Linked DNA regions of Kluyveromyces lactis. The protein of the gene in region 1 binds, or shares a complex with, the protein of each later gene. Links are inferred from orthologs where the notes say so. Each region holds a gene or a part of one and is shown on either strand. Other genes may lie near its edges.

Evidence for each region. Proteins that work in one complex are often made in the same cells at the same time.
Region 2: MRPL17 (region 1) and MNP1 share a complex: the UniProt entries of both Saccharomyces cerevisiae proteins name them as parts of the mitochondrial large ribosomal subunit. The link is inferred for Kluyveromyces lactis from reciprocal best matches to the Saccharomyces cerevisiae genes MRPL17 and MNP1.
Region 3: MRPL17 (region 1) and MRPL51 share a complex: the UniProt entries of both Saccharomyces cerevisiae proteins name them as parts of the mitochondrial large ribosomal subunit. The link is inferred for Kluyveromyces lactis from reciprocal best matches to the Saccharomyces cerevisiae genes MRPL17 and MRPL51.

Annotation. Positions count from the first base shown.
Region 1 is NC_006039.1:256,991-259,563, forward strand, and holds MRPL17 (mitochondrial 54S ribosomal protein mL46), read right to left. Parts: upstream 1,295-2,573; coding exon 503-1,294; downstream 1-502. Other genes in the region: TEX1 (Tex1p), read left to right, coding at 1-295; Nrd1 complex RNA-binding subunit, read right to left, coding at 1,612-2,573. UniProt on the Saccharomyces cerevisiae protein: Component of the mitochondrial ribosome (mitoribosome), a dedicated translation machinery responsible for the synthesis of mitochondrial genome-encoded proteins, including at least some of the essential transmembrane subunits of the mitochondrial respiratory chain.
Region 2 is NC_006040.1:268,763-271,141, reverse strand, and holds MNP1 (mitochondrial 54S ribosomal protein bL12m), read left to right. Parts: upstream 1-1,342; coding exon 1,343-1,855; downstream 1,856-2,379. Other genes in the region: KLLA0_D03256g (uncharacterized protein), read left to right, coding at 1-106; DNA-directed RNA polymerase II core subunit RPB9, read right to left, coding at 463-831; cAMP-dependent protein kinase catalytic subunit TPK2, read right to left, coding at 2,091-2,379. UniProt on the Saccharomyces cerevisiae protein: Component of the mitochondrial ribosome (mitoribosome), a dedicated translation machinery responsible for the synthesis of mitochondrial genome-encoded proteins, including at least some of the essential transmembrane subunits of the mitochondrial respiratory chain.
Region 3 is NC_006042.1:776,620-778,940, reverse strand, and holds MRPL51 (mitochondrial 54S ribosomal protein mL43), read left to right. Parts: upstream 1-1,368; coding exon 1,369-1,797; downstream 1,798-2,321. Other genes in the region: GCD2 (translation initiation factor eIF2B subunit delta), read right to left, coding at 2,008-2,321. UniProt on the Saccharomyces cerevisiae protein: Component of the mitochondrial ribosome (mitoribosome), a dedicated translation machinery responsible for the synthesis of mitochondrial genome-encoded proteins, including at least some of the essential transmembrane subunits of the mitochondrial respiratory chain.

The DNA of each region.
Region 1 (2,573 bases):
AAAGTCGTGCTTAATATTTTACACCACTGGTGCTCTTGATAAAATGACAATGGTTGATTTACGTTCAGGCAGACCGAAAACTATGGTATCGACCGATGATCGTAAACGAAATGATTTTGTTAAGAAAAGCACCGATCGGAGCAGTAGAACTCAAAGAGACACACCACAGCGCGGGAAGAGGGATAAAGAGCTGCGCAAACAACCATACAAGAGAGATGCTGATAAATTCAGTGAGAAGTCGTTTGGTCGCTCCAACACAGGGTCTTCTTTTAGAAAGCCAAATGATAGATGGTGATAGATTTAAAAGTTAATTAGCATTCTTACAAGTATATAATGTTCCAATCTTAAAATCAATCAGAGTTCAGCAATATGTATATGATTGTTATCTTTTAGTGTTCGATACGGGTTGGAATTTCTATCCGAAGCAGTATTTACAGGAGGGTTTACATATATATATAGTGATTAAATCATGCCAATACTTTCTGTGTTTGATGATAATATGTTAATTCTCAGCAAGAACATATTGTATACTATTGAAATATCTCTCGTCAACAGCTTTCTTGATTTCATCTTTTGTCAACCATGCAAATTCTTTGATTGACTTTTCATCCTTTAACTTGAATTCACCTGCTATGATATGCGATTTGATCAAAAACTGGAGATCTTTTTCAGATTGTAGAACACCTGCTGGAGTATTCGACACAGTCCATGTATTAATATCTTCTCCGCCGATTTTTCTTAATCCCACTTCAGCGGTCTCATGTAAAGCTTTCTTTCCTTCCTTAGCTTCAATATCAACCGGGAAACTTGGAAGAACCCAGCTTCCCTTGTCATCCTTCACAAGCAAATGCAGAGTTCTGTCCAATTTTCTGTCTAAACTAGTAATATCGTTATTTTCGTCTGCCTTTGTAGTTCTGGAATTAGGAACAATTGGCCTTGAGACATCAGACTTGTTTGAACCTTCTGAAGCCTCTCTTGGTAGCATAATATCTTGCTTTTGACTTCTTTCTCTGTTATGTCTGACGTCTGGCACTCCTTTAGGGAACCATACACCAGGCTGCTTGCTAATCACACCTTTCTGTACAGACTGGAAACGACGCTCTGCCAAAGTACCTTTTTTGAAATAGAAATAAGATGGAAATGTCCACATTAGTCTTCTTTCCAGTTCTGCCTGGTATTGGTAGTACTTGTTCTCTAGTGCATTCAATTCTGGAGTGACGATTGGAACACGAGAAAGTACCAAACCTGCCTTTACTGCCTTGGGAATCGAGCTTGCTGCTGCTTTCACAGACATTTTTATTTATAATTGTGTCGATGAAGAGGGTTGCTGACTGAATATACACGATGATTGACAGCTGGTGAATATGCTTCCCAATTCTGATAAGCGGCACTATTTCAACATGATGCTGATGTTCCAATAATTTTTCAAATTGTTTGAACATCCTCTCATGCCTACTATTCCAAAATTTTTCAATATGAAATAATCGATCACGATATACGGATTTGATAACTTTCCAAGTGGTGTCACTAATAGAACAAAGTAGTGAGTGAATTGCATATGCATAAAGGCTATCAGATACAGAAAATTATTTAAGTGCATTTATATAAGCATTATTTTGGCGTTTGGTTCAAAATATTCATCAATGTGTTTAATTGCGCAGTTGGATCGAAATTTTGTGGGGGTTGAGGAGATTTTTGGCCCGAAGGTTGAGTAGACTGATGCGATTGCTGCTGCTGCTGCTGCTGCGCAGATGATGCCGATCCCAGCAGTTGATTTTGACCATATACCATTGATGGAGGCTGCTGATACAATGGCTGGTTATAATACTGTTGTTGGATTTGAGGAACGTTCGGTATTTGTGATGTTTGAACCGGAGGAGGAGGAGGAGATATATTACTGTAGGGGATAGGTGTTTGAGAGACAGCAGTAGCTTGACCAACTTTACCAGACTTGGGACCCAAAACACCTTTATCAGTTGGCATCTTTTGCGAAATCGCTTTTGATGAAACACCTTCACCAACAATAATATCGGGCTCCTCATAAACCATGTTTGTTTGGATTGGTTGACCACCAGTACCACCCCATTCCGCGGACTGTGACCATTTGAAGTCAATTTCGGTTAGCCTGGCCAATGGGATGATTGAATATCCATATTGATAGTCACAACAGTCTCTAGGACCGAAACCAACGGCCCAACGGATTCTCAAACCATGTGTCGGATTGCCACCACCAGTGAAATGCGCCATGATCCTCTCCGCTTCTGCTCTTGAATAGACTTTCACAAAGGCGTGCTTACGGGCATTATTCAAAATAACACTCTGAACCTCACCGAATTGTCTTAACATTCTTGCAATATCATGTTCTTTGAAATTTTGTGGGACACCACCAACGAAAAGGGTTCTGGAATATACTTTTACGTGGTCCCTTGGCACAGTTGGATCAAAGGATACCGGTTTTGGCCTAAAATGAGGGTTTGAGGGAACATTCTGCTCATCTGGGTACAAATGATGGTTATTTCCTTGTTGACCATTAATTGACTGCTGCTGTTGTTGTTGTTGTTGTTGTTGTTGTT
Region 2 (2,379 bases), on another chromosome or scaffold:
GGAGTACAATTATCACCTACAGTTTAATAATGATCTTGACCAACCGCAGCAAGCTACGCATAATCCACAAATGCTTTGGGATGAACCTCACGGCTTTTTTCAATGAGATTTTAGCAGTGGAAAAAAGTCTTTCATTTAGTACAACACGGATACATACAAGCACTGATGCGCTGACGCGATGTTATTGGTGAACACTCCAAAAAAACCAAAAAAAAAGACATTCTTCATTTGTTCTGGTTTTCGTACCAGTCATACGTCTCCATTTGTCAATTATCATTTTATTTTGTTTTCAATTAAACTTGTTTTATATTCATACCTCTTTCTTTACATTCGTTAATAAGGAAACTATAGAATCGTAGCTTTTAAAGATATCCCTATAGAAATAAAATTTTACATATGCTTAAATCAAAGGGAAGAGGATCATCAAACAGAACGGGAATGACTTTGTACCAAAAATCTGTTCTACGAAAAGGTTTGCCTCTTATTCTTTTTATCAGAAGTGAAAATGTGCGAACAATGCAAACAGACGTAGAATAAAACCATACTGGTATCCTTTCTCCGCTGCTGCGACTGGAAAAACACATTCTCCCTAGAATGACACTTCGGGCACTCTTTATCTGAACGCGGTAGTGTCGGGTCAGACCCTATATCTTGCACCACACCTGCAGTCTCACCAATATTCGTCTTCAATTCATGACGGTAAACCAATGGAGTACCTGCCTCTTCAACGTAGGGACACGTACGACATTCGAATAATAATTTATGTGTCTCTTTATCCTCTCTAGGATATAACATATTATTACAATCACGACAAAATCTGAACGTAGTCATTATGATACACTTTTATCTTTTATCAACTATCTATCGTCTGTCTATTCCTCTCTCTTAACAAAATCCGGTTCTTGGAGTATTTCAATCCAGTGAAACCACTAAAAATTAACCGTTTTTCTCTTAAAAACTACAAGTACACAACAATATGTTGCTTTTAAACCACAAAACAAACAACTTTGACCCCACTTAAACCAGAGTCACTTCTTATACACTCTTATTCCTATCAAAACCATGGCTCAAATTCTGGATCCTTTCCTAGTTCTCAATCGAAGCTTTTCAAATGTCGAAAAGTGTTAGCAGCATCTATCACTCCGTACGATTATCATCTGTTAGCTGAAAAATTTTGGGAAAAAAGCTTTAAACCTAAAGACAATTCCATTGAACAATCGAAACAGGTTAAACAGATTGTGGAGTTGTACTGTTGACATTCACGATTAGTTCTCCATCTTGAATCTAACCGAGAACAGCAGTTTTTATCACAGGTGGGTTTGGGAATAATATAAAAGAAAAAATGTTGCGTCAAGTGGTAAGATCATCCGGCGTTTTTGCAAGGAACAGTTGTAGATTAGGTTTGGTTCGTTATCAATCGACTGCTGGTACATCTACTCCAGCTGCTGCGGTTGATCCAAAGATTTCTCAAATCGTTCAAGATATCTCCAAATTGACTTTATTGGAAACTTCTGCTTTGATTCAAGAATTGAAGACTCAATTGAACATCCCAGATATTTCGTTCCCAGCAGCTGGTGCTGGTTCAGCTGCCCCAGCTGCTCCAGCTGAAGAAGCCAAGGAAGAAGAAGTCGTTGAAGAGAAGACTATTTTCTCCATCAAGTTAGAATCGTTTGATGCCAAGTCTAAGCCTAAGATCATCAAAGAAGTTAAGAACTTGTTAGGTTTGTCATTGGTTGAAGCTAAGAAGTTTGTGGAAAGTGCTCCAAAGGTTTTGAAGGAAAACGTCGCTAAGGAAGACGCTGACAAGGTTAAGGCTGCATTGGAAGGGCTAGGTGCCAAGATTGTCTTGGAATAGACAGATACGTCGAACACCTCACGCATGTAAATTCCCCATGTCAAAACGAGTTCTCTTCTCATTTTCCTGTACATAATAATAACCAAAAATATATTAATATAAACTCTTAAGATTAAGATATATATATATAAACGCAATCCGACCGACATAACAAAGTAAAAAGAAGAGGTAGTTTCACGAACGATCCGTTCAAAAATGAATCGATTATGAGTTATGTTTTTCTTTGAAGATTTCGTTAGAAATCTAAAAAGTATTGGCCGTATGGATCTTCGCCCTGAACGCCATAGTCCAGTTGCTCTTCCGGATATTGGTCGAACAAAGAGGAATCACCGACACCGACAGCGATTGGTGGCTCGTACGGCGTCTCGATGTCCTTTGCCACAAGCTTTTCCCATATAACTTCCGCAAACCATGGATGCGATTTGATATCATCTGGCCCGCTTTGTAAGTTACCTAATCTACGGGTCAAATCTGCAGTGATCAACTTACCTAATAGATCCACAACATCAGGGTGGAAAAATGGT
Region 3 (2,321 bases), on another chromosome or scaffold:
AAGTTGGATCCAATGAATGATTTTATTTTTCTGTAGCGAGGTATTGAAGCTTCTGAAAACTGACGTTTTGAAACTTTCTTGTTTAGTGACAGAGAAAATAATTTCAAAAGGTATGTATGGGTAGGGAACCAAGTTTAGCGTTATAATCGTTTTTAATGAGCGTAGTAAAGTTAGGTTGTTGTTCGAGGGTGTTCAATCTTTAATTAATCTGAAGGAAAACTATGTATATTAAGAATTCTTCAATGACATGAAATAAAGGTGCAAGTAAAAGGTATGAAAATGGTAGTAAAAAAGTGCCATTTGCTGCCCTTCTTATATAATACAAATGTTACTTTGGACACGCTAATAAACTCTTAACACCTTATAAGTATTTACCGTTGATGAATTACCAAGTTCCAGTTAATTAGTATGGTATTCTTCTGCTTTTTTCCCTAAATTTTTTTGTCGCATTTTATACTGCATCGTTGAAACGCTTCAGTGAACGCCGTAATAAATTAAAGAAACGGATACAAACCTTGACTGTTCGCTACTTACAAGTGAATGTTTTTTAGGGGTGGTCATCGTTATACGCATCCTTAAAAAAACGCATAGAACTTTAATTTTTCAATAGTTATAGGGACATTATACGCACCATAATGATAAACTGGTGACTATTATGGCAATACATTTGCCTGTTCTTGAACAAAGTGTCATACACTTACATCACACTTAATAGGGAGTGCCCAGTTAATTGGTTTAAATGACGCATGTGCATAATTTTTTTAACAAATTACTAGTGTGCATCCAACATACGCTAGGTGTCAATCCGTACATTCCATGGGTGAACGCAAATCAGGCCCTTTATTTAATTAACCTCATATGAAGCCTTTGGGACATCTTGGATCAGAATCTGGGGCCTCTATCGTACTTTCTATGGATTTGCTCAGTAAAAGTACCCTTAACCAAACGCTGGTAGTGCATTATTGTCATAACCCATCGACAGATCATCAAGTTTACATGACGTATGACATCTCATGAGGATGTGTTGACATAGCAATGTGAAAGAAACAGAATATAGTCGGAAAGAGGTTCTGTATTATTTACATTCGTCACCTTATAGCAGTGTTGGTACCAGTATCTTTTTCATTTGTGTGAGCATGTGGTGAATTGTCCTCCTACCTTCGAATACATACAGATTTGTTCACGTGACTGATGGTCTTTTGAAATTGGAAAAAAATAATCATGAACTGAAAACTCGAATAAAACTCAAAAGATATATTAGTGAATCTATGTTCTGCATCTGAAGGATCTCTCCACAGTTTCAAAATACACCCAACTTGTTTTCTAATCAGAGCTGGTACCCGCGGTCATAAAGATTTCTCTGAAGTAATGGTTGTTAAAGTTTTGAGACAAACTTCTATCGCAAGAAATGGTGTTGGCGCTTTTGTGCTTCCATGTAAAAAGATCACTTTGCAATACTGTAATTGGGGTGGTTCCTCACAGGGTTTGAGAGATTTCCTAACGTCTAACAGAATGATTCAATGGGCTGAAAAATATCCAACAATACAGTTCGAAATAGTAAGAAAGTCTGGCCATCCAGTTATAAAAGGTGACTATGTTAATGGCCGTAATAAAGCCATCTGCGTAAAAAATCTGAACATTGATAATGTAGAGAATAAGTTAAAACTAATCAGAGACGCATCTGGTGAGCAACTCCGTCACAGAACTAAGAACGACAATGTGGATACTTTGAACGATAGTGTGAGAGGTATCTGGTCTCCACTACATTTAAGCCCAGCCATCAGACACAAGGTTTGAATCGAAAAAATGACTTGTGAATGGTAATATCGAGATCATAGCTTAACTTGTACATATATATAGCAATATCCTCGATGAAGCCGATACCTAAGTAAACAACCTACGATGTTGAATATTACTACGCAATTAATAAAAAAGAAGATCTATACTAATTTTTCATTTACTATATTATATGATATTATCGTATATTATATATGCAAAGGGCTCCATTCAAGCTGATGCTTTGTATTCTCTAAGAACCACGGGAACAGAAGATGGTGGCAACGAACCAAATTCTGTAATGATCTTCTTGATGTAGTCAGGGGGTGTTAAATCGTACATTATATTGAAGATGTGCAAATTAGGTGATTTCTCCCACTCTGCTAGTATTGGTTTATCCTTGACATTCTTACCTTCGTCGGCAGTAGCATTATTGGTATTAGCACTGCCAGATTTATTATTTTGCTTAGAGCTATTCTCGACTTCCTTCTGCTGCGCTTCACGCTCTTTGATAAATTGCTGTAATAAGAACCCATTGTTGTTAC